Linked DNA regions of Lytechinus pictus. The protein of the gene in region 1 purifies or fractionates together with the protein of each later gene. This does not show direct contact. Links are inferred from orthologs where the notes say so. Each region holds a gene or a part of one and is shown on either strand. Other genes may lie near its edges. The genes, in order: C-Jun-amino-terminal kinase-interacting protein 4-like and serine/threonine-protein kinase PLK1-like.

Region 1 (17,056 bases):
TGCTACTTTTCATAAACTACTGCTTAAATCTGCTGTATTGCAATAAAGCTTACACATGGCAGTGAAGGTATATTCTCCAGGACTTGTTTTAGTATTTCAGGTCAAAATCATCCGAGCCCCTGTGCAATATTTTCCCTGCTAGTGAGCATTTACTCAAGATGATTCAAACATGGTAAAACTAATCACATGTACCTGCATTGTGTGATTTATGACTTAAATATATATTACACTTATCAGGGGAACTGCAAGAAAATATTTACAAATTTTACAATTTTAACTGTAGTAGATCAAATTACTCTCCTTCTCAGGGTTCCCAGCTTTTCAAGAAAACAAAATTCACTGATTTTTTCCCTGACTGGAAAAAAAGTAAAATAATTTTCCCTGATAGGCTGGGAACCTTCCTTGTTGCAGATCAGCAATTAATTGCAATTTTGCAATTAATTGCAAGATATATGATTGATACAAGATAAGGAACCCTTTATATGAGGACCTAAAATAGATTTGTAATTGATTGTAAGATATATGATTGATACAAGATAAGTACCCCTTTATCTGACGACCTAATATAGATTTGTAATTGATTGCAAGTTTGTTTTACAATGTCCCATTAGATTCATATCACCCTTTAAAGCCTTGTGAAAAATGAGCTAATTTGGGCAACAAGATATGTCATATCTGTTTTAAATCAAGTGATTTTGAATTTAAATATATCCACCTTCTGACAGGTAGATTAGCCGGTCTGGTGACTCCTCCTTCATTGAGTTCTGGAGTACTTGCAATGATGTCTCTCAAAGCAGGGTTTAATACATGTCTGTTGTCTATCTGAGGTGTCATCACTGTAGAGGAAGAACAAAGAATTTTGAAAAAAAAGGTGACAAGAGAGAATAACAAGTATAAAAGCTATATTAAATGTCTTTTCAATTATCACATTATTTGAAATATAGTTGTAAAATCCCCTCTCTATTTGTTTTCAGCCAAATTTCATGTTTCATCAGAAGCTGGGAGTAATAATAATAATAATATTCCGCATTTATATAATAATAATAATAATAATAATAATAGCAAATTTTTATAAAGCGCTTTTCCCAGAATGGCTCAAAGCGCGTTACAGCATATTATTACCCCGGTCATTGGATTCATTTCAATCCTGCACGAAAAGTGCACAATTTCCACTCCCTGGGGAGCATTCCTTGCATTCATCGCAGCCTCATTATGGCGCTGGCAAAATCAAACATACAATATCTTTCGCATCCTACCGGGTACCCATTTAGCACCTGGGTCGAATATAGCGCTTAATACATCGGAACGACGTCTCTAAGCGCTTTTACAGACATATTATTACCCCGGTCATCGGATCCTTGCATGCCCGCATACAATGTATGCACCTTCTCCACTCCCTGGGGAGCATTCCAACAAGAGTTCCAAGACTCAATTGCTAGGCATACTACATATAGGCTTTCACATCCTACCGGGTACCCACTTAACACCTGGGTAGAGAGTGGCAAAGTGTGGATTGACGCCTTGCCAAAGGACGCTAGGCCATGGTGGGATTCGAACACACGACCCTCTGATTACAAGGCGAGAGTCAGAACCGCTACACCACGACGCTTCCACGTCGTAAGGTAAGGGGGAACATATGGGAAAAAGGCCATAAAACAATAAAACAAGAACAAAGAGGCCAGTGAAATTGCCACTAGGCTTGATAAAAAGTGTAATTTGGAATTACCATAATGTCCCTCATTTCAAAACATATTGGATGACAGAAAGCTGCCACTCATTGATAAGGAAATAATTGCAAGTCATTTTCATGAACTGCAATAGTAACAAAATGAAGCCTTCTTAAGGTATGGAACTTTGTGAAGTTGAAGGTGATGGTCAAAGATGTCCAAAACTTCAAAAACTAAAAAAATGAAGAAAAAAATTTTTTTTCCCCAATTTTTTGCAAGTTCACAAAATGAGGGATGTGAAGAAATAATATCCCCCATGCAGAAAATATTAAATTTGACCCTGCTTGCATGCAGATATAATTTTAATAAAGTGTAATAATACCTGTCTCTGCATTCATAGTAGGGACTGTAGCCTGTGTTTCTGTGGTGGAGGACCCTGTTCCAGCAGCGATAGGTGATGTCATCGTCTCCGTCAGTTCCTTCTCTAGGTTCTTTTCATTAGATTTATCATTGAACTTGTTGAGAGCATTAGAAGGAGTGGTGGTCGGCGATGACAGGTCATCGGACATTATCCTCTCCTTGGTAGGTGTCAGCTGGTCATCGTCGAATCCACCAACCAATTGGTGTTTCTGAATGTTTATCCTATGGGAATGGATAAGAGTGAGCAAAGTTACAACAGAAGTATGCCTTACATACATGTAATCTGGAAAGTAACGGGAATTATTATCTGTACATTCTTGCAGATATGGGCTTTGCTTGTTTACATCTCTAGATACACTTATTCTACACAACTGTGTATTTAAGAATGAAAGATCACAGCTAAAGATTTATTGGATTTTATCACATCTGTCCAATCAAAGATTTTTCATTTTTGGGTAAAATCATGATACTTGAAGGTAAAAATAAGTCTCTTTATTACATTACATCCCCTTTCTTTTTCATTTCCCCCTTGGTGGGATTAACTTAGATCAAACTTGAAGGGTATTTAGGCTGACAAACTTGTTAAAGAAAGAGAAACTATGAATGAGAATAATAAAAAGTAAGTTATTTTATTATAACAGGCAAAGTGCATATTTTTTATTGTTGCATAAACAGTATAAACCATATCGTCGCCTTCCCGCAGAAAGGCCGTTAACGTGCAAGTACATTTTTAAGAAAACGCAAATTATGTTTTGACCTTATTTTTGTGCTTTAAGCAGCTAGTGTATTATTTTCTGTCCTAATTCTCATACTTTCTGACAAAGATGTTTTCTTCATTGATATTTTGTTTGTTTTATTTAAAACACTCTAATCTACGCTTTCTAATCTTAAGAAGGAATACCTTACACCCTTTTTCCGGGAAGAAAAATGTGCAATCCGCTGATCCAGTGACCGCAGGAAGGCCGCTAGCCCGAATCGGTCTATGCGCACACGCACGTTGAACGAGAAGCGTCTTGTTCCCAGACTAAGAATGCGTCTATATGCTAAAGCAAGTGGGAATGTTTTTGCTTATTATGTCATAATGACATCACATTCAGGTTCGAGAATGGTACCAGAAGAAAGTTCGGGACATGCTTTTTCCATTTCAGCAATATAACAAAATTCAATTTTTTTTTTTTGGCGCCAAAATACGTTAACGGCCTTTCTGCGGGAAGGCGACAATATAATGTAAATTCTTTGGGTACTTTTTCAGGGGCTGGGTCTTTTTTCCATTCAAAGTCTAAAAGAATACTGTATAAAATGAATTTGGAAGGTATGATTTAAGGAATCAAATAAAAGCTATAAAAGAAATGATAGCAAAAATGTTGACTTCAAAAATTATTAAGCAAATATGATTGATTAATCACCGGCAAGTACACATGTGAAATTAAACTAAATTGTGTGAATAAAACTGAAATACCAGGAATTAGGTGCAAAGAAAGTGCTAAGAAAAAATTCTTATACTATAATTGCCGAGGAATGACTAAATTTTCAAATGTCAGATTAACAACTTTCTTGTTGTGAGATAAAACTTTATTGTGCCAAATTCAACCATCAATGCGCTGAATCAACCCCAGTCAAAACTGAATTTAACATTTGAAAAAAAACTTGTCACTCCTCCACCCTTATAGATGGTGACTTAACATTTACATGTAGGTTTGCAAAGTATTTCAAAGGTGAACTGCATATGAATGATCAATATAATAACTGATTTATTTTTAAACATCATCTGTTGGAAGCCAATTTAATTATATCCACTAAAATCCTTATAAGCACCCTTCTGTCATCCAAGAGATGAGAGGTACAAAAGCTCCAGTATGATTAATTTACAATCAATTGCGCCCCCAACTGCCAGCATGTGAAAGGCCAATTTTAAGCTAGCTAGTACAAAGCTTCTATCAAAATAATATAGTAAAATCACAAAAAATGATAAAAATTACTAAAACATTGCCAGTTAGGTCAACATGGGTGCATTTGTGCTTCTCAGATGAAATGAAGATAACATATATCTGAAATGCAGTACATAGGGAGAAAGTTGAGGAAAAATTAGGGCTATTTTTCTACTTTTGTTCATTTATATTTATAAGCTAACATTTCGTATTGATCCATGTTAATGGCTAAGAAGTTAAAAGAGCCTGCATTGCACAAAATTTATGGTGGAAATACAGAAATCGTTAATGAAACAATTGCATATTTGTGTTTACAGAAACCAAATTTTCATGGAAATGCCAATCTCAAATGCACTTTTTTTGTGAGTTTCCCATTGCCATTTGTACAAATCCAAGAAAAGGTGCAACAGAGATTTGAACTAACATGTTTTGTGATGCCTAATGACCCAAGAGTGTCGAGTATAGAATAATAAATGCTGTGATTGATATTTTGGAATCTGAACAAAAATTTTGCAATGATAAGTAATCAAAATCAACTCTTCAAAATTTTGATAGAATTATATTATTCTAATTCAAGTGACTTCAGGGACCCACTTCATAAAACTTGTTATAATAACAAATTTGCAATAAGAGCTAAAAGCTACTGAAATCCATCTGTCTGATTGGCTGATAGTAAAATTTGTTATAGCAAATCTGCATTTGTTACTATAACAAGTCTTTATGAAGCGGGAATCAGATTATTTTACAGCTGCACCACAACTAATAATTTATTTTCCCATGATGCAATACACAAATCCTCAATAAGCTGGAGTCACTTGATGGCAGTTTTGATTGTAAATAAATAATACTCCCAAAGTCCCAAACAAAGGATAAAATGAAAATGCTGAAAATATGGGAGAAGTAAGACTGTTTTATTAATAAAACCAGACTACTCAAACTATTTAAAAGTTTAATAGCCCTCAGGATGACAATGAGAATGAAAAAAAAACCTGGAAAAGAAATTATGAAATTATGAAAGATGCCCCCATGCAAATATAAGTAATGGATAGGATTTCGAGGGTGGGTTGAAGGTGTGAGTAGGGAAGGAATCCATGCAATATAAAATTTCAAAATGCAATGTGCATGCACAGTGTCAATGATAAAAAGTGTATATCTAAGCCATATATCTGCATATTTTTGTCATGTTGTTTTTCCACCTCTTTTCATCCTAAATGTACGGTAACTAAGTCCAAAAAAATAGGGGGACTGATAATAAAGGAAATGAAAAAGATGTATTTCTTTCCATTAGGCATGAGAAGCCAGTTTAATAATAGTGAAATTTAAGATAACATACTTCAGGATCAGATTTGAATATTGCAACTGGGCTGTTTTTTTCTTTTTATCCATAAAATTTTGGTATATGGCTTAGATATGAATGGTAGAACAAAACAGAACCATGTTAAACAAATAGGAGTTCCAGACTTTTCCAAGCAATAAAGCAAATATCCATTCGTTAAAACAAACATATTCAATACTAAAAATTATTTTTCATTTTTCTGAATAATAACATTAGATAAAATTGTACGAAGGGTAACCACCATTTTAAAATATATCATTCTGACAGATCAATTAATTTTGATAAATTGATTTAATTAATTTTAATTAATCAGATTAGTTTTCAAATAAAACAAAAGCACAATATTTAAATGATATTTGTCAAATGAACACTCATTACAATCATCAAAATCAAGATGTAATTGAGCAAAAAAAGGCTGGAACCCTAATCAGATGAATATTAAAAGTACAATCAAGTCCAACTTAGCCTTTGTAGTGGCCATAATGATGAGGAGTTAATAATGCAAGCAGGCAGTGAATACACTATACACAAACATTCTTTTCTACATTTCTCTCTCATCTACAATGAAGATCTAGAAAATGGGAAGATATCTGTATATAAAACAAATAGAAAAACATGTTGGTTGGAATTAAGGAAGGAAAAGGAATAAAAACAAATGCAATCGCTCATACATGTTATTTTAAAGTCAATCTGTTACTTGTGTACAATAAATATAAATATACACCAAGGATAGTTTTGTTACAATAGGTGTACAATATACATGTACATGTATCCCAACCACCCAACTGGAAGAGGGTGATGTATAGATACATTTCTAGCATTAAACTTGATTTAAATTTCAGATGAAATTTCTTGAAGGGAGAAAAAGCCAAGTCATGTTGTGGAAATAATATTTGTGCTACTACATGTACATGTATATATACTATACTTGTTTTATTTGACAAAAATCAACTAAAACTATGTAAGTCAACAAGATCATTAAACAATTTTCACTGTTGAAACACTTCCAGGCTCAAATCACTGTTTGTATATAAAATAATCATTGTTAAATTATTAGGAAATAAGGATTGTAATATGTTGGCTTAGAATTTAGAATGTCTCTTTCCATACGCCTTCATAATTGAAAGTAATTGCTTACAATGCAATTATCTGTCATTATATCTGAATTTTGTATTTCACTTGTTTATTGTGGTTTGAAAAATGATGCCTCGGCTTCTTTCACCTAACCACACAATATCAGCTCATTTGAGAGGATAAAATCTGCAATCAACTGCACTTTTAGGCTTTTGTTTTATAAAGATCTAAGCCATTACAATATAAGGCTGGTGTATTGAATGTATGTCATTTTGACAATGACACTGTGAATGATTTTAGAGTTTGATACATCAGTCACTTTGTAGGAAATTTATGTTGTGTCAGGACATGGTATTTGACTTGCAATTGAAAGCAAGTTTCTTTTAATTGTTTGAGAATGCATCATTCAATGAATAACACAACATACAAAGGCTATCAACCAACATCTTTTCAATGCCACCTTATAAATTAATCAAGAAATGAACATTTTACATATTGTAACCATAACTCCATAATGCGTTTAAAGCATTATACATTCTTTAAATTGTGATCTATTTATTCATTTATTATTTTATTTATTTATTCATTTATTTATTCATTCATTTAATTATTCATTTATTTATTTATGCATTCATCTATTTACTTATTGATTATTTTTTAAATTAAATTTCATTTACCCATTTATGTATTCATTTATTACTATCATTTTGGGGGTGGATGCCAAATAATCACTAAATAATTCATTCTATTTTAGTCCATTTTAGTGTATGAAGAGATAGGCAGAATATACTGACTATTAAACTATTGTTAAACTTAAAGAATATATAAAGGAGTACATTTTTTATCCAAATATAGATATATATTTACAAAAATAAAATATGCACTTGTGCACTAAAAACCAACCATGCTCTTAAAGTTAGATGAACCAAATGTGCCTTTCCAAGCTACATATCATATAATACTGATGGTTAGTTCAACAAAAGAAAACATGCATTTAATACTCTCAAGTCAAAGGTACATGTATGCATATTTATATGTGAGTATGATATTGTAAGATATCAGTAATGATTACAAAGGAAATGATCTGTTTCTCATACTCATCATCCCCCCTTGAATAAGTCGGAGATCCAAGCTCGTGATTCATTCTGCATCAAAGAGGATTTATTTTGGGGCCAATTCATTGATGTGCTATGATTTCTGATAATTTTTTTTTATTCAAACCAAGATATCATAAATGGATTTTTTATATCTTACATCAATTTTACTTATTAAGATTCATCCCTTGAATAAAATACAAAGAAAATATCTGAAAAGGTACTCATCACAATGTCATATGATTATCATCCCTTATGAATAAATGATAATATAAAAACAAAATCTTGCATAGCAGGAGTATAAATTATCCATTCCAACAGATACCTACAGTACACATGAGAAATAGTACTGGATAGATTGGAAAGAACGACAAGCTTTTTATAGAGGTGTCAAACAGAAGTACCAAAGTATGATTATAAGGTCTATAAACTAATATACATGTAGACCATAGAAAAAGCACCACAATTGTACCATCATCCCTTTGATAAATATGAATTTCAATTTCATTTATGTGTTGCAGAAGAGATCTGAAGGGGCATTTAACAAACTTCAGCAGTATTAAAAGCAACTAAATTCAAATACCCAGTTGTGTGTGGTATATAATGCATAATGGTCAAACAATGCTTGGAGGATGTTTGCTTCTGTGTAATAATGAAGAAGTCTATATGTAAAATACGTGTCCTGTGGCACTTAAGCATGAATTTTAGTCACACTTAAATCTTCGTAAAACATCCCCTTTTTTTCTTTTTCCTTTTTTTTATAGAAAATGAGCATGTCTCCATGAACAGGATTGTGTTCAAGTTGCCAAACAATTCTTACCACTATGACAAAGAAATAAGGCCAAAACATTGATCAACTTGATTTAAAACTGCTCATTTACTTGCAGAGCTTGAGTTGAAAATACTAGCTCCCCCCCTCAAAAAAAAAAAATCTGAGTTGGCGTGTGAGTGTAATAGATCCATGGTGTACGTGAACAGTGCCTTTACATTTTAACCAAAGATCCCAAATAATATCATTTCACATTTCACAGCAGCATTTCTTGATATATAGTATATTTTATGCAATTTTGTAGAAGGGTGGGGGGGGGGGGGGGATGGTGGTATCAGATTATAAAGGGAAATCCCCTACCTGAACCTTTGTTGTGTGGTAGTATCAACCTGTCCCATCATCTTGACCCGGTCAACATACTCCAAGTACTTCTGAACAACCTGAATAGAAAAGAGACAGTTTGAAAGATAGTGAATGAAATTGGTAAAGCCATCTACAAAAATTAAGGGGAGAATGCAAAAAGAAGACCGTGAAAAAACCATGACAACATGCATTGTACAGTGAATTTGATGACCACAGTAAGTCTCTTTCAAATAAAAACTCTGAAAAGGGTAACATGATAAGATTAAGGTAAAGCATTTCTTGTTCAGTTAATACAATTAATTTTGTTCATTAAAATAAAGATTTCATTTATACATGTAATAGAGAAGAAGAAAGGGAGAGAGAGAGAAAGAAAGACAGATGGGAGAGAGAGTGAGATGACAGAGAATAACGTGTGTATACATACACTACACTGAGAGCACGCACGCATGCACATGTACCCACTGCACAACTGGCCCAACGAGCAAGCACAATACATATTCATGAGTTCCTAATGAATATGCATTTCTTCATTCAAGAGTGGTAAATATCATATTTCATTGCTAAAAATGAAGAATCTGTGCTTTGGGTTCAAAAACACTTGCACAATATCTTCTAAAAATTATATAAATGTTACCATGGCATACCAAATGACAAAATCATCAATGCCTGAATAAACATTTCAAAATTAAAACTACTAACCATTTTATTAAATACATATTGAATATACAGGTATCATGCAACTGCCACCAACTTTTTAAAAAGGGCTTTTGCTGCTTGTGGCACATGGGATTCCCCAATGGGGATTCCTGTGCGGAATCACTATCAAGAGATTTCGGAAGCATAATATTTGTGATTTGTGGCTGTTAGTTGTCTCTTGCACTGACGCCCTACATATTAAAGGAGAATGAAACTCTTGGAGCAAGTTAGCTTTTGTGAAAGCAGAAAAATAAAAGAATAAGATCAACAAAAGTTTGAGTAAAATAGGACTAGCAATAGAAGAGTTATGAGCATTTGAATGTCGAGATCACTAATGCTATGGAGATCCTCCCATTGGCAATGCGACCAAGATCTATGATGTCACAGATGAACAACTCTCCCCTTTTGGACACTGAAAATATACCCCAAAACATCTCTTTTTGCTCATTCTAATCATATGACAAACGATTCATCAATGATATAATGTTGTGAAACCTCTGTACTTGTCCTCTCATAAAGAGAACACCTCGCCTTGTGATAGACTATAAAAGTGAGAATGTAAGTGAAATAAGTACTAAAGTAATGAGGGAGTTGTACGTGTGTGACATCACAGATCTTGGTCGCATTGCCAATGGGAGGAACTACATGGCATTAGTGATCTCAATATTCAAATGCTCATAACTTTCTTATTATTCATTCAATCTTCATCAAACTTTCAACAATATGTTTCTTTGATTTTTCTCTTTGATATGGATTCAGCTGGTTTCAAGGGTTTCATTCTCCTTTAAGTAACTACAAAAACCAACTTGACAGTGTCAGGGGTTTGAAATCTTCAATAAAATCCCAGACTTCCTAGAACTACAGGGCAACATTTCAATTCAAATCAAACTATACATATAATTTTCTTTAAAAAAATATATATTTACATATCGTAACATTTCGATATGGAATGAGCTGAAAATTTCACAATAAATTTCTTTGTGGCATACTAAATCCAGTCGCTAATTCATTTATAGATACATGCTCAAAAGTCCCTTTTCAAAGAAACAAGTGGAACGCCTCTGGCAGTCTCGCCTGCATTACGCGATTTAATATAGCAGCAGTGCTAACTTTGAAAACTACTATAAAATAATCATTCACAAAAACTCCATTCATATAATGACATAATACCACGTTCATTGACCATAAATGACATTTGAACGGTGACTTAAGACTTGTCAACTACATCCATGTCCACATTTCAATCACTCTATCTATAAACTTTCAAAGTTATGATGGCAATTCAACAATTACCCCAACATGGCCTAAGTTTATTGACCTTAACTGACCTTTGACCTTGGTTTTGTGACCTGAAACTCACAGGGGATGTTCAGTGATACTTGATTACTCTTATATCCCAAGTTTTATGAACTAGATCCATAAACTTTCAGAGTTAGGATGGTAATTTAACAAATACCCCCAACACGGCCAAAGTTCATTGACCTTTAATGACCTTTGACCATGGTCATGTGACCTGAAACTCGTACAGGATGTTCAGTGATACTTGATTACTCTTATGTCCAAGTTTTATGAACTAAATCCGTAAACTTTCAGAGTTAGGATGGTAATTTAACAAATACCCCCAACACGGCCAAAGTTCATTGACCTTAAATGACCATTGACCATGGTCATGTGACCTGAAACTCGCACATGATGTTTGCTAATACTTGATTAACCTTATGTCCAAGTTTCATGAACTAGATCCATAAATTTTCAAAGTTATGATAGTAATTCAACAAATACCCCCAACTTGACCAAAGTTCATTGACCCTAAATGACCTTTGACCTTGGTCACGTGACCTGAAACTCGAGCAGGATGTTCACTAATACTTGATTAACCTTATGCCTAAGTTACATGAACTAGGTCCATATACTTTCTAAGTTATGATGTCATTTCAAAAACTTAACCTTCGGTTAAGATTTTGAAAATAATTCTCCCAACATGGTCAAAGTTCATTGACCCTAAATGACCTTTGACCTTGGTCATGTGACCTGAAACTCAGGCAGGATGTTTAGTAATACTTGATTAACCTTATGTCCAAGTTTCATGAACTAGGTCCATATACTTTCTAAGTTATGATGTCATTTCAAAAACTTAACCTTAGGTTAAGATTTGATGTTGACGCCGCCGCCGCCGCCGCCGTCGGAAAAGCGGCGCCTATAGTCTCGCTCTGCTATGCAGGCGAGACAAAAATGAACACCTTACTGTGAGAGGGCGATAGAAGCTTTAATAAGTAAATTCTATTCAATAGAAATAGATAGATAGATAGATAGATAGATAAGATATATAGACAGACAGACAGACAGATAGATACATGTAGATAGATAGATAAGATAGCTAGATAGACAGACAGATAAATGGTTTATTTGATAAAAAACATATATCATGGCGACCAAGCTGAATTGAGATGAATTTACATATAAATTAACATGAATCAATACATAAAAAAATTATAATGAAATACATGAACATATCTTTGAATAATAGTTATACATGTAATAATATTTAGAGTGCAAAAATTGTGGAATATAAATATCAAAATTTGATTAAAATAGTATAATGACAATGTAAATTCATTACTAATTGTAAAGTTAAAAATAACAATTTTGATTCACTAATAATTGGATTGAATTCAAACTGAATTGAAGTGAAAATTACTGGTAAGTGATAAATATAACATTATAAACATTGATTTTGAAAAGTAGTATGCATATAACAAAATGTGGAATAAAAAACTATAGGGGGCTGGGGTCAGATTTCTGGGTCTTCATAACATTAACAAGTGGAACGCCTCTGGCAGTCTCGCCTGCATTACGCGATTTAATATAGCAGCAGTGCTAACTTTGAAAACTACAATAAAATAATCATTTACAAAAACACCATTCATATAATGACATAATACCACGTTCATTGACCATAAATGACATTTGAACGGTGACTTAAGACTTGTCAACTACACCCATGTCCACATTTCATTCACTCTATCCATAAACTTTCAAAGTTATGATGGCAATTCAACAATTACCCCAACATGGCCTAAGTTTATTGACCTTAACTGACCTTTGACCTTGTTTTTGTGACCTGAAACTCACAGGGGATGTTCAGTGATACTTGATTACTCTTATATCCCAAGTTTTATGAACTAGATCTATAAACTTTCAGAGTTAGGATGGTAATTCAACAAATGCCCCCAACATGGCCAAAGTTCATCGACCTTTAATGACCTTTGACCATGGTCATGTGACCTGAAACTTGTACAGGATGTTCAGTGATACTTGATTACTCTTATGTCCAAGTTTTATGAACTAGATCCATAAACTTTCAGAGTTAGGATGGTAATTTAACAAATACCCCCAACATGGCCTAAGTTTATTGACCTTAACTGACCTTTGACCTTGTTTTTGTGACCTGAAACTCACAGGGGATGTTCAGTGATACTTGATTACTCTTATGTCCAAGTTTTATGAACTAGATCCATAAACTTTCAGAGTTAGGATGGTAATTTAACAAATGCCCCCAACATGGCCAAAGTTCATCGACCTTTAATGACCTTTGACCATGGTCATGTGACCTGAAACTTGTACAGGATGTTCAGTGATACTTGATTAACCTAATGTCCAAGTTTCATGAACTAGATCCATAAATTTTCAAAGTTATGATGGTAATTCAACAAATACCCCCAACTTGGCCAAAGTTCATTGACCCTAAATGACCTTTGACCTTGGTCATGTGACCTGAAACTCAGGAAGGATGTTCACTCATACTTGATTAACCTTATGTCCAAGTTTCATGAACTAGATCCATAAATTTTCAAAGTTATGATAGTAATTCAACAAATACCCCCAACTTGACCAAAGTTCATTGACCCTAAATGACCTTTGACCTTGGTCATGTGACCTGAAACTCAGGTAGGATGTTCACTAATACTTGATTGACCTTATGCTTAAGTTTCATGAACTAGGTTCATATACTTTCTAAGTTATGATGTCATTTCAAAAACTTAACCTTCGGTTAAGATTTTGAAAATAATTCTCCCAACATGGTCTAAGTTCATTGACCCTAAATGACCTTTGACCTTGGTCATGTGACCTGAAACTCAGGTAGGATGTTCAGTAATACTTGATTGTCCTTATGGCCAAGTTTCATGAACTAGGTCCATATACTTTCTAAGTTATGATGTCATTTCAAAAACTTAACCTTAGGTGAAGATTTGATGTTGACGCCGCCCCCGCCGTCGGAAAAGCGGCGCCTATAGTCTCGCTCTGCTATGCAGGCGAGACAAAAATAGCTATTTTTTAGGCATGAATTTAAAGCTAATCTAAAGTGAATTTAATTCGTTTTTTTTTATTTGTTTTTTTTAAATAAGATATACAAGCTAGAAATAAATGCAAGAATCCATGTTTTTAAGCACAAATATTTTTTCCACCCTCAGTGAGTGCTTAGATCTCCCAGGCCAGGGTCTTGTTTAAACAAGTGATCACCGAGATGATTACAGAATATAAAGCGAAAACACACTTTTATTTTAGAGAGCGCCCCCTCATCTTCAGGAATCCAACTGATAAGATTTGAGAATGTATTGCAGAAAGACCTGTAATCAAACACAACTCTGAAAATCAAATGGACTTGATTTTCAGCCAAACAGAAGCATAATACACAAGTCATTTTCTCTTTGCATTCAAATGAAACTCTTTCGACAATGGGTCCTTGAAAAGACAATATCAGTTTGCCTTCCTGATGGCTCTTTAATCAATTTGAATTCGAGCTCATATGATAAAACAATTGTACCCATCAACTCAAGCACCCCCAGTGTCAACACCCTCTAGATAAAAGAGAATTTTGATTAGAAAGCAAGTCCCTTGCCTCTTCTGGTCAGAGAGATTCAGATTAGTGCCCTGTAACACAACGGTTTGCAATCAATCGCACATTTGAAATATCAACTCTAGATTGGTTACAGCTCAGTCTTTTCAATGAAATGCAAATGTAACAAGGATCTTGATTGGTCATTACCTTTTTTGCTATTGATCATTACATTTGTGTTAAGGGGCCCAGATGCTTTCTAAATTAAGTTTTCAGTCTGTGAAATGTCTCCTACAAGTACATGACTCACACTTTAAAGGGAACGAACAACGTGGCCTATTTTATAAATTTGTAATCAATGGCAAGTTAACAGCTAAAGTTATGCTACTAAGATGCGGTAAACAAATCAGTCAAGAACAAATTTGTAATTCAATTCTAGCATTAAAAAATTGACATTGAATAATTTAATACCTATTTGGCAAAAAATGGAAGCACTAATATTTGGTAATGTGTATAATGTGTCATTAAATACGTATGATCAAAAGCTGCATTGCAATTGTATCTAATTATTGTTATATCAAATCGACAAATCTCCTCCCGGATATCTTTGAAATTAACCTTCCTAACAATCAAAGTGTTCTTTTTTCTTTTGCTTCTCAATCAGACAAGATTACATAGACATCTTGAACTTATCCTCAATATCTATGATTAAAAGGGGGAAAATAAAAAGAGAAGACTACATGTACAGTACATGGGGTGTCAGAGTCTCAGAAACATGACTTTCTCTTGATTGCAATCTCCATTAAAATGTATATGTGTATTAAGGTATACAGGTGTATGCTGGTTTCTTTTTTTAAAATAACTTCTCATGAAACAATCTTTAATTTCAATTAATTGTTTTTTAAGCTTTTTTTCCAGAATAATTCTCTTGAATACAAAAACATGGCCTTTAATCATTTACTATGCTGTTTTACATGTCTATACATGTATGTGTATGCATAAACTGTTTGATCTGACATCTCATTATTTGGGGAAATTTGGATTATTGATGGCAGGGTAATGTCCATTTCAAAATCAAAATTAATGCAACATCAAAGAAAAAATCTGAATGTTTTATTTTCTGAATTAAAAAAAAAAGCCAATTCATAATTTGGTAGAGTGGAATAGTTTATCATCACTCATTGTTATAAATGACATCAAAATTATTTAGTTGCAACATGGTTTGTCCAAGAGTTTTCAGTGAATAGGCAAAACGTTAACAAAGACATCCATATGGCTTTATAGTGAACCATTTTAGACATTAAATCAATATGGAGTAGTGAACCAGTACTTAAGGCATTTTCAATAGGGATTTATAGTGAACCATCGGCCTTTTAATATATTAGAAACATGCATTTAATTTTCGAGGTCGAATTGAATTGATATCACAGGAACAGCAATTCCTAAACATGATCACTTTAAATGCAAATCTCTTAAAATGTTCATACAAAACACGGTGTACATGTACATGATGTATCTCAGCTTTTGACTCTGAAATGTTTGGTCATCAAACACATGAAGACCACTGCAGGAAAGCAAGCTTGCCTGAGTCAGCACATGCCCAGAATACAAGCATTGAAATTCAAGTGCAAGCGCATTTCTGCGAATGCACGGAGAATGCACATATCTGAAGAGGCAGACAGCAAGTACGGTAGTTCAGAAAGGAAGGAGACGGAGTATGCAGTACCTCAATGAGCATGCTAGATGTATGACTGTGCACAATGCTTTCAGCATATGTTTTGAGGAACTCAATACAAATGGATGGTTTCTACATATGGATGTTGTGTGTGCATTTTAATTTGAGCGTACAAGTACTTTCCGATGTAATCTATTTTCAGCATCATCATAAATAACCGCATATGTGTTCAAAGAGGAAATAACATGATGATCATCTGTATAATTGCAGTTACAGACATATACCTCTACATGTACATACTGTATCACATGTTCAGCTGTTACTGCAACTCAATTAAGAAAATCATGTTGTGATCCCTTAATAAAAAAAGAATGTTCAAAATAAAAGTGGTGGGGCCAGAGCCATATCTAATGTTTGTTTGTTAATTATCGTAATACCATCAAATTCAAAGATAATAACGCTTGTTCACAAAGCACTGACTTTAAACCAATTTTTTTTTTGTCTAAATTTTTTTAAAGACACCATCAAAATATATAAAAAAAATAATAGAAAGCAATACCAAACATGAGACCAGACTCGGAAGGCTACGTACAGGATCAGCACTTGCCAATTTAGAATGTAAGCCCTACATGCTGTAGGATGTGAAGTTAGCTGTCAACTAGTAAAGTGAAAAGAATATGAACCTTGTTATATCATACACAATTTATAAAACAGATAAGAGCTCAATGGCACACCAAAATCTTCTCCTGATTGTGATTTTTTCTTCTCAATCTCTGAGTTGCTCTTTCTCCCACTTTCTCGATTATGGCTAATTAATGTGACTAATTGTGTTTCCAATGAATAAATAACGTAGGTCTACATGTACATCTGACTGTGGTAGAATCTGCCTTCATAACCCAATTTTGCAGATATGCATAATTCATTTTAATGTACATATATATACATGTAGGGTGAGAGGATAAGAAAATTCATGACCAAGAAAAAAGTGAGGAAAGGAAAGAAAAGAAAAATAAAAGAACGGTATGTCAAATATATCACAAAATTAGGTTTGTCTACTAAAAAAAAAGATCAAAACTTTTCCGGAAAGGCCAAGTCTGGCCCCTTCAAATTGACTTATTGTGCCACTAGATAGGAGTGTTTCAAAATAGCTCCATGGATTTCCTTTTCCTTCATGTACATTTTGGGAAATAATTAGAC
Region 2 (16,829 bases), on another chromosome or scaffold:
TTGCTACCTCAATCTGGGAGATTCCATCATGTCCTTTTACTATGATTTGGGTATAGCCATTTTTTTCTTCACTCTTTCCAGGACCTACGGTTTGCAAGTTGTGGACTGATAATGATACAAAAGAAATTTTTTCTTTATCAATCTTGGAAACAACTTTGAGCACAGTTTTGGAGAGAACTAAGAAATTTGACTTGGACAAGAATACAGCTTGTCAAAAATAATAACACACAATTTAAACGAAAGAACAATTTTAATGTTACTAGGGCATTTTGCGAGAAATGTTATACTCAATCACACGTCCCAAATCAAGGGTAAGTCCTTTGATTAAACATGTAGTTGAAGTGCGATTGCAACTCGACCTTATTACGCTTGCGGTATTTTATAGATGGCAAATATAGCGATCTTCAACGCTTATATATAAGCGTCGAAATTTGTAGCCATCTCCTTGTATTAGTCTATAATATACGACGTGTCAAATTGTAGCGAACTAGTTCGCTATTTCCAGATCTCCTCTATATATATATACGAGGGGGAATTGTAGCGAACTAGTTCGCTATTTTCTAGATCTCCTCTATATACAAACGACGAGAAATTGTAGCGAACTAGTTCGCTATTTTTCGGAACTCCTCGATATATACACGAGGGGGGATTGTAGCGAACTAGTTCGCTATTTTCCAGATCTCCTCTAGATACATACTACGGGATTTGTAGCGAACTAGTTCGCTATTTTTCGGATTTCCTCTATATATATATATACGACGGGAAATTGTAGCGAACTAGTTCGCTATTTTCCAGATCTCCTCTATATATATATACGACGGGAAATTGTAGCGAACTAGTTCGCTATTTTTCGGATCTCTTCTTTTGTAGCGAACTAGTTCGCTATTTTTCGGATCTCCTCTATATACGACGGAAAATTGTAGCGAACTAGTTCGCTATTTTTCGGATCTCCTCGATATATACACGAGGGGGAATTGTAGCGAACTAGTTCGCTATTTTCCAGATCTCCTCTAGATACATACTACGGGATTTGTTCGCTATTTTTCAAATTTCCTCTATATATATACGACGGGAAATTGTAGCGAACTAGTTCGCTATTTCCAGATATCCTCTATATATATATACGAGGGGGAATTGTAGCGAACTAGTTCGCTATTTTCTAGATCTCCTCTATATACGACGGAAAATTGTAGCGAACTAGTTCGCTATTTTTCGGATCTCCTCGATATATACACGAGGGGGAATTGTAGCGAACTAGTTCGCTATTTTCCAGATCTCCTCTAGATACATACTACGGGATTTGTTCGCTATTTTTCAAATTTCCTCTATATATATACGACGGGAAATTGTAGCGAACTAGTTCGCTATTTCCAGATATCCTCTATATATATATACGAGGGGGAATTGTAGCGAACTAGTTCGCTATTTTCTAGATCTCCTCTATATACAAACGACGGGAAATTGTAGCGAACTAGTTCGCTATTTTTCGGATCTCCTCGATATATACACGAGGGGGAATTGTAGCGAACTAGTTCGCTATTTTCCAGATCTCCTCTAGATACATACTACGGGATTTGTAGCGAACTAGTTCGCTATTTTTCGGATTTCCTCTATATATATATATACGACGGGAAATTGTAGCGAACTAGTTCGCTATTTTCCAGATCTCCTCTATATATATATACGACGGGAAATTGTAGCGAACTAGTTCGCTATTTTTCGGATCTCTTCTTTTGTAGCGAACTAGTTCGCTATTTTTCGGATCTCCTCTATATACGACGGAAAATTGTAGCGAACTAGTTCGCTATTTTTCGGATCTCCTCGATATATACACGAGGGGGAATTGTAGCGAACTAGTTCGCTATTTTCCAGATCTCCTCTAGATACATACTACGGGATTTGTTCGCTATTTTTCAAATTTCCTCTATATATATACGACGGGAAATTGTAGCGAACTAGTTCGCTATTTCCAGATATCCTCTATATATATATACGAGGGGGAATTGTAGCGAACTAGTTCGCTATTTTCTAGATCTCCTCTATATACGACGGAAAATTGTAGCGAACTAGTTCGCTATTTTTCGGATCTCCTCGATATATACACGAGGGGGAATTGTAGCGAACTAGTTCGCTATTTTCCAGATCTCCTCTAGATACATACTACGGGATTTGTTCGCTATTTTTCAAATTTCCTCTATATATATACGACGGGAAATTGTAGCGAACTAGTTCGCTATTTCCAGATATCCTCTATATATATATACGAGGGGGAATTGTAGCGAACTAGTTCGCTATTTTCTAGATCTCCTCTATATACAAACGACGGGAAATTGTAGCGAACTAGTTCGCTATTTTTCGGATCTCCTCGATATATACACGAGGGGGAATTGTAGCGAACTAGTTCGCTATTTTCTAGATCTCCTCTATATACAAACGACGGGAAATTGTAGCGAACTAGTTCGCTATTTTTCGGATCTCCTCGATATATACACGAGGGGGAATTGTAGCGAACTAGTTCGCTATTTTCCAGATCTCCTTTAGATACATATACTACGGGATTTGTAGCGAACTAGTTCGCTATTTTTCGGATTTCCTCTATATATATATATACGACGGGAAATTGTAGCGAACTAGTTCGCTATTTTCCAGATCTCCTCTATATACGACGGGAAATTGTAGCGAACTAGTTCGCTATTTTTCGGATCTCTTCTTTTGTAGCGAACTAGTTCGCTATTTTTCGGATCTCCTCTTTATATATACGACGGAAAATTGTAGCGAACTAGTTCGCTATTTTTCGGATCTTCTTTATAAAATTTTATACACGAGGAGGAATTGTAGTGAACTAGTTCGCTATTTTTCTAATCTTTATATATACAAGAGACGGAATTGTAGCGAACTAGTTCGCTACAATTCCCCCTCGTGTATATAATTTTATAGAGGAGATCCGAAAAGTAGCGAACTAGTTCGCTATTTTTCTGATCTTTATATATACAAGAGACGGAATTGTAGCGAACGAGTTCGCTACAATTCCCCCTCGTGTATATAATTTTATAGAGGAGATCCGAAAAGTAGCGAACTAGTTCGCTACAAAGCCCGTCGTATGGATATAGAGGAGATCTGGAAAATAGCGAACTAGTCTGCTACAATTTGACAATATGGCATCAATATATACAGCCAAAACCTGCAGATTTTCACTTTGAAGCCTTCACAATAATGTAAGCTTTGGAAAAAATGACAACTAGTTCGCTACAATTTCCCCCTCGTGTATATGAAGAGATCAGAAAAATTGCCATCTAGTTCGCTACAGTTTGCCATGTTTATATTTTAGAGAGGAGATGAGAAATGGCGAACAAGTTTGCAACAATTTCCTGTCGTATACATGTAGAGGAGATCCGAAAAATAGCGAACTACATGTAGTTTGCTACAATTCCCCCCTGGTGTATATATAGAGGAGATCCAAAAAAATAGCGAACTAGTTCGCTACAATGCCCCCTCATATATAGTTCGCTACAAATCCCGTCGTATGTATATAGAGGAGATCTGGAAAAATAAAAAAATAGCGAACTAGTTCGCTACAATTCCCCCTCGTGTACATATCGAGGAGATCCGAAAAATAGCGAACTAGTTCGCTACAAATCCCGTAGTATGTATATAGAGGAGATCTGGAAAATAGCGAACTAGTTCGCTACAATTCCCCTCGTGTATATATCGAGGAGATCCGAAAAATAGCGAACTAGTTCGCTACAATTTCCCGTCGTTTGTATATAGAGGAGATCTGGAAAATAGCGAACTAGTTCGCTACAATTCCCCCTCGTATATATATATATATATATATAGAGGAGATCTGGAAATAGCGAACTAGTTCGCTACAATTTGACACGTCGTATATTATAGACTAATACAAGGAGATGGCTACAAATTTCGACGCTTATATATAAGCGTTGAAGATCGCTATATTTGCCATCTTATTATTTCCCTTACGCTTGAATTTGAATTTAAGACTTACGCTTGATTTGCAATTGAACATAAGTTTCTTGCAGTGCCCCATAATTATGTTTTGTTATCAGATATTTAACGTGCTGATTTTTCTCGAAAGGTATAATATATTTGTCCTTTTAAACGGTATTTGAATATGGGTACGCCTTTTATTTGTTTTCCACAATATTTATTGCATGTATGAACAGAAGTGAAATATTTATTGTGAAGCACTGTGAATGTTGTGTGATGGTTCATCATTTTTGTTATAAGACTGAAAGCCTGGTGGATGTGAGGAAGTGGCCTGGATGAAAGAAAAGTGAACATGTGTCCAATTACTGATTTGCATATTCTAAGACAATTTTGTTTCTGGATAAATTTTGCTATGCATTCCCTACATTAAGAGTAAAGGAGAAGTCCACGCAATCAAAAATTCATTTGAATTTAAAGAAAAATAACAAGATATTGCAGGAAATTTCATAAAAACTTTGATTCAAATTTATATAATTACTATTTTAACAGTTCCGTAAATATAACCTATTGTGATCAGATGAAGAGTTTCTATCGTCAAATCTGCAAAGAATAAAAAACAAAATGCCACAAAAATAGAAACGAATGTGATGTGAGTGACAACTCTAATTTGCATATCATTGTTTTGTGTATATGACTGTTTTGAGTAAAAACAACAAGGGAAATTACTCTATTCAAATAATTTTTAGTTGATGTGGACTTGACTTTTAACTCTACCCCTCCCATCCCAAATAAGAGTAGAAATAATCTAATCAAGAACTTGAAAATCAAAAGCAGCAATTAAGAAGCAAGATATGATAAATACAGGTCTGAATAGAATTTCACAAGAAAATAAAAAGAGAAAAAAAAAATGGGTAGGGACAGGGAAGGAATAAAAAAAAAATACCCAGAAAAAAAAAACGAGTTTCGAACCAGGGTCCTCGCACATGACAAAACAATGGCCAACGCATTTGGCCACAGACCATCTCCCTAACAGGAAGGCATTTTTAAGATATATAAAAGAAAGTCCGCTCGCCGCTGTTTCCTAATAATGCTTCGGCAATTCAACTGCAATTTCAGTCATTTCGCGATGGATATTGCCGTGTTTTTTTTTGTGGTTCCTGACTTTGCTACTTAATGAAATTTCATAATTTTTGTTCAGTCATAAAGAAGAATGTCTATGCTTTATATTGACTATAACATTAATGTGACGCAAGTGTGATTTCTACGTGAAAATATGCTTTGTTTATTCACATATATTTCTTGAAAAAAAAAAAAATTCTAAGCTAAATATCGGTTACCAAAATACGTTAAATGTGCACTTTTTTTCACTGTTCAGTAAATTCAAACTTTTATCTATATAACAAGACCAATCTTAAGAGGAATAAACAATTCTAAGAGCAAAAAACGCTGATTGGAAAGATCGTCTCCAATGGGCTGCTGTCAGCTCAGCTGCACACTGCTCATTGTGTGACGTCACTCAGCTGGAGCTCGCAAGAGGACCGGTGGAAGGCAGAAATATGGCATGAAAATAAATCATTTTTGAGAGCTGATTTCTGCAATCTCTGATCACTATTTTGAAAAGTGAAGTTATATATCTGATTAGTAATACTTCCCCTTTACAATGATGACCACATAAAGTCATTATAAAATACTTTTGATTCTTTGGATGTATACTTTAAGAAAATGGGAATGTTGGGAGGAGTTTAGGGAGAGCTAAATGTGCCAAAAACAAAAACAAAATGAAAATAAATGAATAAAATAAATTAATTAATTAAAAGTATAAAATGAATAAATGATAAATAAGTTAAAAATAAAATAAGAATAAATAACGTGTGTATAAATTATATAATAACGATAATGAATAAAGTATTTTTTCAATGAATGCTTAGGCATGAGAGTATTTTTCATTAATATATATATGTACATATATATTTTTTTTTTCATTCTTACCATTCAGAGAAGGAAAACGTTTTTTCCGCCCCCACACGAGTAGAACGGGAAGGTTGTGACGACGAAGGGCATGGGAGGGGGGTTATGGGGAGGGGTAGAGGGTAGGGCCTGAGGCTGATGTTGTTATAGGATATGAAATATATGAGGAATGAGGCCAAGGTGTGGGGAGGGGGGTTATGGAAAATCCTTGTTAATGGCTTTAATTCGACTAGGTTGTATTAATGATTGGTTTTGTGTATTTGGAAAATCTGTTACGTTGTGAATATTTTGACACAAGAAAAAAAATCGAGTACGTTGAGTTTTATTAGGTTTTATTGTAACACTAAAGGAAAAAAGAGAAAATTTAAAGTGTATATGAGTTTACAATGTATTCATATATTAATTTGTAAAGATATATTGTATTTGATGTATGTATTTTATTTTGTATATGACATGTATGAATTGAAGTTGTTGACAAATAAAAACTTCTTAATACAAAAAAAAAACCACCACTCGAATAAGAAGACTGTCGTTATATTGTAAATATCATCCGCTAACGTAGAACTAGAAAACAAAATCGGTTAGCTCTAGTGCAACGAGCCACGAGTCTGATAGTGATACACAAAAAATTGTATCTTCGGCGACGTGCATGAAATATGTTTTTATTACGACTGGTACCGAAGTCTATAGTCTGACCATTGATTGATTGGTTGAGCGTGAGCGCGCGCGTCACAGTATGGGTCAAAAAGTTGTTTTTCTTCGCTAGATAATCGTCCATTCGTCCTGTTGTCCAATTCAGAATTCCTTGGAGAATCTTTCATTTGCAGTTGTGTGATATTAAAATTAGGAAACTGAATATGGTGATAGCGAACCTGTGAAGATCGTTTCAATTACCATCTTGCGAATAACGTCCTTTAGTGTGTATAGTCCGTACGTACATGCACAGGATATACGTCCTTAACCGACCAATCAGAGAATGGCTAACGTGCTGTCTTTAACGGGACGTTAGCGAGCCGTCTGTGTACGAGGAGAAATAAAAAAAATAAAAAAAGTTAAAAAACTCCTCGAAACAGACGGCTGCCAGCTGTCTATAGGATACACTGCCATACTGACACTACTGATTACTGTGTCTGTACATGTCCATCTACGATACACACAGAGACACTGCACTCACGCACTGCCACTGGCATCCAATCCTACTCCACAACCACACACTACGACTACGTCAGACTCTGACCGCGCTGACATTTACTACTCTTCTTGGGGGCAACAGAACAAGGAGAACATCAGAATACCTGATACTCATATTATTCAATGTCATACATGTTTCATACCTTCACTCCAAGCTTTATTTCTCGGGTCAAAAGACAATTTCTGTCGCCGTCGCGGCTCCGCAAGCATCGCCATCTTGTCGGTGCACGTGGATCAACTAAAAATATGTAAATAAATCTAGCTTCTTTATCAGACTGTCTGAATAATAGAAAAATAATTATTATTTGTTTTTTTAATTGTTTTTTATTATAAATGGTATCAAATAAGAACAGATATATTTATCAATCGTAATTATGAAATTCCTTTATACTTTACAAAGAAATATACATAAATAAATATTTAGAAAATGACCCTAAATGCCTTGTACCATATTTAAATTTATGAACAACTCGGTTTAAATGTCCGTACCTTCGTCCAATCAGAGCAGAGTATTTGCGAAAGCGGAGATCTTCATCGGCCAATGAACGACCACTATTCATTGAATACCGGCCCGCTGTTTTTAAATGCACAAAAGATCGTCAGAAACAGGCGATCGCAGCTGACTTGATCGACGCATTGAAATTGTCTGCAGTTTTTTGGACAAATTTTGAAATATTTTGGCTTAAAATATTAAGATGGCGTCAAGACATAAGGAAGATCTCAGAGTAAAGGAAGTTCCTGATGTTGTTACAGATCCATCAACTGGAAAAACATACACAAAAGGAAGATTTTTGGGCAAGGTAACTCGTGAGCTTTTTTTTTTTCATTTTCAGTTAGTGTTGAGTCGTGTTGCCTGTTGAGCTGTGTGTGTGTGAATAGTAAAGTGACCTGCAGCTGCACTGCACTGTGCACAGCCACAGTGCCAGTGGAGTGTGAGGTTTTGCGTCATTTGAATGGAGTCAGGAAATTGTGTTGAAATTTAATGGATTATCAAAATAGTGGAGGTATCAGTTAAAAGAGAAGAAAGAGAGGGGGCACATATCTGCGTACCGCAAGGTTAAACGAAATAAAAAGTTAGTTAACCCGAGTGAAATGAGGCAAAAATTAACATTTATTTTAGAAAACTCCACAAAAATTTTGGTTGATATACTTTTTTAAACCAGGCCAAGACAAGTTTATAATTAAACTTGTTACTGTTAGGGGGATTGGAATTTGGAACAACTCAACCTCGCCTCCGCCTCCAAAACGGGGCTGAGCTGGATCTCATTCTCAGTTTCTCACCTGTTTCGTGAAGACGTGATTTTTTTCTTCATAATTTTGTGTTCATTTATCTTCATTACGATATTTCTTGAAAGTTGAAACAATTGTTCAAGCAAGGAATCAGCCGGATCATCCGCCCGGATGGTACTGTAATTCTTTCTATCTTGACTAACTTTGTTAGAATGTTCAGTATTAGAAGGTCTGTTTTCATTGAAATAACAAAACAAGATCTAGAAATAGAATCATACTGTTTTTTTGCAAAAAAATATTAGAATTGGAACAAATTATGATTTTCTTGCAAAAAAATGTGGAAAGTCATTTTCAGATTAAACTAAAAAAAAAAGTGATCAATGCCCAAATATGAGACCATGATCATGACTTATACATCACACTACATAATTAGCATGTTAGATTTCGATCAATTAAGATTTTATTCACTCTATCGACCCCCTCTCGGGTACTATGAGGTATGACTATGAGAGTACAGCATATGGATATTATGGGTCAATTCATATCAAATCAACAAATTTTCAGACAATTTGTCACCCGACCCCCTCCGATCTTCAAACTTGTGCCAGGAGTAGCTGCTCCTCTGTGACTTATTCCATCACAAAATTGAAACTTTAAATAAAAAATTGTAAAGAATGCTTTGGTTGATTTTCATGAAAGCCTCACCAATATTTCTTTTTTTCAAATGATTGTCAGGGTGAACTTCCCTTTTTAAAAGTGATCTACATCACATGTATCTAACAAGACAAACAACCCACCTGGCCACTTCCATTAACTAGTGGATTTTATAGGCAAAAAACTTCTCTTTTGTAACTCATGTCATCAGTCGTTCAGCTGATATTTTCAAAATAAATCCCCTGTCCATAGCCCAAGTACAACACATTAAACAACACATACCTAAATGTTCTTTTATAGTTATACATTTTGGCTTACAATAGTTACATGTAATTTGCCGAAATTCCCCCCACCGCATGCGGAGTAGGCCTTGGAATTATAGGTCTTTAGAACCACAGGTCCATGGTGGAACATAAGGGGGGGGGGATATTTTACAACTGTTGAGTTCCTAGATTTATATTTCTCCCTCATTGTCAATGTGGGCCACAGTGTAAAGATGTTAACTTGCCCAATGCCCCAATCCATACCCTACTAAAAATACCCCAAAAAAAATAATAGATGTGTTCTGAGGAAAATCCATCAAAGATTAAGAAAGTCATTATATTTTTTTTTTATTTGTGACATATGATCTCAGCTGCCCCAATACAAAATACATAAATTTCAATTTTTTTAACGGTTCATGATGACTTCAACTTCTTTTTTTTTTTTTTCTTTCAGAAGCAGGTGTTAAATGATTTGTATGTTGATATACTAAAGGACTCTAATCAGGGGTGTGAGAGTTCAGATTTTTATCTGATTTTAGATTTTTTTTTTTTTTTTTGATTTTCAGCTTAATTTCAGCTTATTTTTTGCCTTCCTCTGTACAAAAAGTATGGGAGCTCTTTCTATTTCAGACTTTTTCAATACTCTTCAGCTTTTTTCAGATCTTTTTATTTGTGACCACTCACACCCCTGTCTAATTTAAACCATTTTCAATTCTTTTAAGAAAATGACATTTCATTGATTTTTTTTACTACAAGATGTACATGTACAGTGTAGGCTAAGATAGCTGTTACCCCTTTCAAATGCACCTGTGGCTGTACTGAGCCATTACATTATTTTTTTCTTTGTGTCTATACAGGGTGGTTTCGCTAAGTGTTATGAGCTGACTGATGATGCCTCCAAACAGATCTACGCTGGCAAGGTCGTCTCGAAAGCCCTTCTTGTCAAACCTCACCAAAAAGACAAGGTACTATATATCATGTTACACTTTTTTTTTACACAGGGATTACCGGTAAATGCTGATTCTTGCTGAAGTAGCTTTTTTTTTTTTTTTTTGGATTTTGTGTTTATTGAATCGACAATATTTTTGAAATGTACATAAAATTGAATACAATTCGACACAAACAACCATGGAAAAAATAGGGGAAAAAAAGGAAAAAGAAAAAATGCTATATGGTTAGCAGGTTATTCCCTTCAAATTTGGTAGCAAGTCATTCCCTGGTTTGTATAAACTTCATGTTATTTGTCAGATTCAGATATAACTTAGCATTTATACCTAATATACTGTCTTTATTTCTCTTTCAAAAAAAAGAGAGAAATAATAGACAGCATTTAGGAATTTGGGGGTAAAATTGGAGTTGCATGTACCTGTACTGTATTTAACACTGACTATGGTATGTGTGCATTCCTGCACCCTGTATACAGCAGGGCCCCGTCTTACAAAGAGTTACGATTGATCTAATCAATCGTAACTCTATGGAAATCCATCAGTGTCATAATTTTTTCTACAGGAAAGGTGCACAATGTCCTTTGTAAACAAAGAGAAGCATAATGAATTTTCAAGACAACGATGAATCAGAATGCATGAATATACATCATAGTAAGAAAATATTCTGAACAAACATGCATTATAGACGTTGACATTGCTGGCAGTCCATAATTGTGATCGATCGGATCAATCGCAATTTGTATTAAAGACGGAGCCCAGCCCAGGAATGCTACACTCCTTTCCAGAAAATGATTATAGAATAGCATTTAAAACAAATGGTAGGGTGACAGTACAATTGGATACAGTAATCAATTCTTCAAATCTTCTCCATTATGACCAAATTGTTTACTATTGCAGATGACGATGGAGATCCACATTCACAAGAGCCTCCACCACCGTCACATCGTAGGCTTTCATAGCTTCTTTGAAGACAAGGACAACGTTTATGTGTTACTGGAGTTGTGCAGGAGGAGGGTAAGTGAATGTGTCTTGTAAATATATATACAATGACTTAATTAAAGGAGAATGAAACCCTTGAAACCAGCTGAATCCATATCAAAGAGAAAAATCAAAGAAACATATTGTTGAAAGTTTGAGGAAGATTGAATGAATAATAAGAAAGTTATGAGCATTTGAATATTGAGATCACTAATGCCATGTAGTTCCTCCCATTGGCAATGCGACCAAGATCTGTGATGTCACACACGTACAACTCCCTCATTACTTTAGTACTTATTTCACTTATATTCTCACTTTTATAGAGTCTATCACAAGGTGATGTGTTCTCTTTATGAGAGGACAAGTACAGAGGTTTCACAACATTATATCATTGATGAATCGTTTGTCATATGATTAGAATGAGCAAAAAGAGATGTTTTGGGGTATATTTTCAGTGTCCAAAAGGGGAGAGTTGTTCATCTGTGACATCATAGATCTTGGTCGCATTGCCAATGGGAGGATCTCCATAGCATTAGTGATCTCGGCATTCAAATGCTCATAACTCTTCTATTGCTAGTTCTATTTTACTCAAACTTTTATTGATCTTATTCTTTGATTTTTCTGCTTTCACAAAAGTTAACTTGCTCCAAGAGTTTCATTCTCCTTTAAGTTATGATATCATTCACACTTTTTCTGCAATGTGTCCCTGTACAACATGACAGACTTCAAACCATGATACATATAAAGCCATGACACAGCTTACATGTATGTTGTTAAAGGACAAGTCCACCCATCCAAAAGTTGATTTGAATAAAAAGAGAATCCAACAAGCATATCACTAAAAAAATCATCAAAATCAGACGTAAAATAAGAAAGTTATGACATTTTACTTAAATCTTTGTGAAACACCCCCCTGGTTTATTAAGTCTCTTAGTTTGCTTATTTTCACAAAACAATTATATGCACATCCTGGTCGGTATGCAAATTGGCAGACTGATGATGTCACCCACTCACTATTTCTTTTGTATTTTATTATAAGAAATATGAAATATTCTAATTTTCTTCTTGTCAAGTGAAACAAAGTTTTATTTCTCCCTGAACACATGAAATTACCATTATTTTAACAGTTTATGGTTAAGTTGTTCCTTATTGTCAAATCTGTAAAAAATTGAAATATTGTATTCAAACAATAAAAGAAATAAATAAATAGTGAGTGATGGACATCATCGACTCTCTCATTTGCATATCGCTTAGTTGTGCATTTAACTGTTTTGTGAAAAAATAAGCGAAACTTAAAAATGTCAGCTTTCTTATTTTACATCCGATTTCGATGAAATTTGCTGTGTTATGTTAGTTAGATTTTTCTCTATTTATTCAAATCAACATCTTTCTGGGGTGGACTTGACCTTTAAAGAGAGCTCAAAACAACTAATGTCCGTCGCTGTCGTTATTGGCTGATTCTCTTCATTTACTTTCTCTCCAACAGTCGCTAATGGAGCTTCACAAAAGACGGAAGGCGATCACTGAGCCAGAGACTCGTTACTTCATGCGGCAGTGCATCCTGGCCTGTCAGTATCTGTCCAAGACGAAGGTGATCCACCGTGACCTCAAGCTTGGTAACCTCTTCCTCGATGACAACATGGAGATCAAGGTCGGCGACTTTGGCCTTGCTACCAAGGTCGACTTCAGCGGAGAGCGCAAGAAGTAAGTCCTGCGGAGGAGACGTGTGATTTTACAATGATAGGTCATTTATTTGTCTATTGTATTTGTGATTTAGGTATGATAAGGCATCAATAATTCTTGGTTTTCATTTTTTTTTTCTGGGACACTCTGTATAATGATTGTAACTTTTGATTTTTGTTTGATTTTTTTTTCTTCAGGACGTTATGTGGCACTCCCAACTATATTGCCCCGGAAGTGCTATCCAAGAAAGGTCACAGCTACGAGGTTGACCTATGGTCACTAGGGTGTATCATGTAAGTCTTTTTAAAATATTCCTTCTCAGGGTAAATTGCCAACTTGTCCACTCACCAGATGGCCTACCTTCGTTTAATCTAAAGCCATTACGTCCAACAGCCATTTGGTCCAATTATCACTTTGTCTAATTAGACCAAGTGGTATATGGACTAAATGGCTATTTGACCAACTGGTTATCAGACGAAACAGTGAGTGGATGAAATGGCAATTAGACCATGTGGTCAGTGGACGAAGTGATGGTAGACCAAATGATAGTAGACGAGTTGGCAATTGGACGAATTGGCATTAGACCAAATGAAAATAAACCCTTCTGAGATGGTCATTGGTTTGTGCAGGTCCTATATATTTACAGATGAAAACAGGTGTAAAGCCATTTCGTTAATTGGTCAGACTTGGAATTATAGGCAAAATGGAAACTTCTTGTGTACAATTGCTCATTCAACTTGTAGAAATATTTTTAGACATTGATAATTTTATTTTCAACTTAGATAAGGTTTTTGCATGTACATGTAACCACAAAACAAAAGTTATCTAGCCAATCAGTCTGTTTCAGTATAAAAGACCAATTATTTTGGTCTTTTGTGGCCCAAGCGTTGTGGCCCAGTGGATTAGTCTTTTGACTTTGAAACAGAGGATCGTGGGTTCGAATCCCAGCCATGGCATAATTTCCTTCAGCAAGAAATTAATCCACATTGTGCTGCACTCGACCCAGGTGAGGTGAATGGGTACCCGACTACCCGGCAGGATTAATTCCTTGAATGCACTGAGTGCTGAAAGGCAGCTCGAGCTAAAGCCGGGGTAATAATGATAATAACAATGCGCCTTGGAATATATTTTTTCTAATCTAGATAGATGGCGCTGTATAAATGCCTGTTATTATTATTATATTGATAATTTTTTTCAGTTTTCTGATTGTTGCTTCTAAGGCAAGTAAGATTTTTTTTTTTCTTTCTTTCTTTCTTTTTTTAACCATAATTCTTTTCCTTTGCCTATTACATATACTTGCTCTGTCTTTATTCAATAGGGACAGTCCCTATTTTCGGGAAAGAAGTCAATCAATTTTCATCCATAATACCCCTATTTTTGTGAAAGTTAATTTCCATAGGGTTTTTTAGAAAATTTAACCAATGTCTCTATGTATTAGTCTAGTTTTTTTTTTTTTTTTTTTTTTTTTTGGCTGTAATCCTTTGTCCTTCTTTATGGACTTGCACTGTTTTGATCTGTCCTCCAGGTACACATTATTGGTTGGGAAACCCCCTTTTGAGACCCAGAGCTTGAAAGACACTTATCAACGAATCAAGAGGAATGAATACAGAATACCATCCAGTGTCGGTACACCGGCTCGCAATCTCATTGTAAAATTACTCAAGGTAAGTAAAGACTTTCGTAACGATGGTAATAATAGTTTTTGTGCAGTACTTGTCACATGATATAACAACTGGGTCCCGTCTTACAAAGAGTCACAATTGATCCAATCAATCGTAACTCTATGGAAATCCATCAGTGTCCTAATTTTTTCTATAGGAGATTGGCACAATGTCCGTTGTAAACAAAGAGAAGCACAGTGAATTTTCAAGAAAACAATGAATGCAGGAATTTACACTATAGTTGGAAAATATTTTGAACAACCATGAATAATACATGTTGATGTTGCCGGCCGTCCATAGTTGCAATTGATTGGATCAATCGCAACTCTTTGTAAGACAGGGCTCTGTAGTATATAATGTGATATGTATCTATATCTGAATGATTGTTTTCCTATTCTCATTGCATGTCCATGTAAACACTATGACATCAAACTTTTGAAAAGAAGCTTTGGACAGATTTCTTGCATTCTCTCTCATCCCCTTGTCATTAAATCAATCTAGAGTTTTCAGATCAACCCTCTTCCGAGATGTACCCTACCGCCTCGGCTCCCCGTCGCCTATTTTACTATGGCTAGGAATGTATTCTTACAAAGCCTGTTCTTATGTAAATCAATCTTTCCCTTTAGAGCGATGCCCAACAGAGACCACCCATTGATTCCCTACAGGATGTATTCTTTACCTCAGGGTACCTACTGCCTCAGCTCCCAACCATCTCACTATGGCTAAAATCTCTTTTTCCTTCTTCCCCTGCAGAACGATCCTCAACAGAGGCCGCACATTGGCGTCCCCCTCCAGGACGAGTTCTTTACCTCAGGGTACCTACTGCCTCAGCACCCAATCATCTCACTATGGCTAAAACCTTTTCCCTTCTTCCCCTTCAGAACGATCCTCAACAGAGGCTGCACATTGACGTCCCGCTCCATGACGAGTTCTTTACCTCAGGGTACCTACTGCCTCAGCTCCCACCCATCTCGCTATGGCTAAACCCTCTTTTTCCTTCTTCCCCTTCAGAACGATCCTCAACAGAGGCCGCACATTGACGTCCTCCTCCAGGACGAGTTCTTCACCTCAGGGTACCTACCACCTCAGCTTCCAACCACTTGTCTTACCATGGCTCCAAGGTTCCAAGTGCCAGTATCCTCATCCAGAAGACCTTTATTAGAAGTCCAAGCACAGGGTAGGTCTATTCAACCATTGTTCACACCTAGAGCCACATACTTATCTTGCCTCTGTCGCTGAGTGCAACTTCTAGATACATGTAGATGTCCCCAGTGGCGGATCCAAGGGGGGGTCACATAATTTATTGGGGGTCTTATAGGCCCCCACCCCTTGTCAGTCAGCCCTGGGGCCCATAGCAGGAAGAGTTATGTTTGAAGGCAACTCAAAAACTCAAGCAGAAGTCCTTATTGTACATGCGCATTTCATTGGTTGAAAGTCATGTTAAGATTTCTAATTTCAAGATAGCTTTGAAGTATAAATCCCGAGACTATTGCACTTCCTCTATGAAATTTCTTATAAATATAATGTCTCTTCGATGCGTACATACTTCCTGCATTGGATGTGTGTCGCACATTTTTTTTTTAAGGTTCATGGTGACAATATTTTTTCCCCTGCTTTATTGTGATTCCTTTTGGGGGGGGGGGTCCACAAGATCAATATTGCCCAGTCCTAAGACAGTTCATACTTTGATGACAATGTTGGCTGCCTGCGTTCTTCTTGTAGATGAGAACGTCCCTCCCAGTCGTGAGCAGAGCGGGAAACCCCGGAAGCACAGCGAGCGCAAAGAGAACGGCAAACCAAAGGTTTTCCAACCCAAGGAAGATTACCTGGCCAGTCTGAGGACTCATCTGCTCAGTGTGGTATCCTCCAAGCCTCATTCCAAGGCTGACGTCAGATTAGGTGAGTAGTCACATACCGATGGATCAACCTCGAGTCAATTCTCCAAGGCCGGTCCACAGGGCGTCTTCCCAGTCAAATAGTCCCAGGAGATTTGTCTTGGACAGAGTCACATGTATAGCACGTATCATGCAATCATCTCTATGCACTTCCAAAGAACTTTGGAGATTTGTGGATCATGTGTTATCACCCTTGCTTTTGGCCAGCAAGGTTTTTTTTTAAGCGCACAATCATTTCCGATTCTGCTCTAGTCAATTCTACAAGGCCAGTCAACAGGGCATCTTTTAAGTCCAGAAGATTGTTTTAGTCTCAAAAGATTCATCTAATAGGCAGAGTCACATAGCGTATATCACACTGTCATCTAGCATCTGTATGCGCTTTCAAAGGAACTTTGTGTTATCACCCTGGCT

Evidence for each region.
Region 2: the proteins of C-Jun-amino-terminal kinase-interacting protein 4-like (region 1) and serine/threonine-protein kinase PLK1-like purify together in Homo sapiens (affinity purification with mass spectrometry; 7 studies listed by BioGRID and IntAct, counting the BioPlex papers as one, with this or other methods). This does not show direct contact. The link is inferred for Lytechinus pictus from reciprocal best matches to the Homo sapiens genes SPAG9 and PLK1.

The regions. Positions count from the first base shown.
Region 1 is NW_026974140.1:2,996,516-3,013,571, forward strand, and holds the start of C-Jun-amino-terminal kinase-interacting protein 4-like, read right to left. Parts: upstream 8,730-17,056; 5' UTR 8,690-8,729; coding exon 8,649-8,689; intron 7,571-8,648; coding exon 7,523-7,570; intron 2,310-7,522; coding exon 2,050-2,309; intron 837-2,049; coding exon 716-836; intron 1-715. UniProt on the Homo sapiens protein: The JNK-interacting protein (JIP) group of scaffold proteins selectively mediates JNK signaling by aggregating specific components of the MAPK cascade to form a functional JNK signaling module.
Region 2 is NC_087250.1:7,526,387-7,543,215, forward strand, and holds the start of serine/threonine-protein kinase PLK1-like, read left to right. Parts: upstream 1-7,695; 5' UTR 7,696-7,802; coding exon 7,803-7,907; intron 7,908-10,111; coding exon 10,112-10,219; intron 10,220-11,098; coding exon 11,099-11,215; intron 11,216-12,665; coding exon 12,666-12,883; intron 12,884-13,059; coding exon 13,060-13,155; intron 13,156-14,387; coding exon 14,388-14,526; intron 14,527-15,534; coding exon 15,535-15,700; intron 15,701-16,245; coding exon 16,246-16,422; intron 16,423-16,829. UniProt on the Homo sapiens protein: Serine/threonine-protein kinase that performs several important functions throughout M phase of the cell cycle, including the regulation of centrosome maturation and spindle assembly, the removal of cohesins from chromosome arms, the inactivation of anaphase-promoting complex/cyclosome (APC/C) inhibitors, and the regulation of mitotic exit and cytokinesis.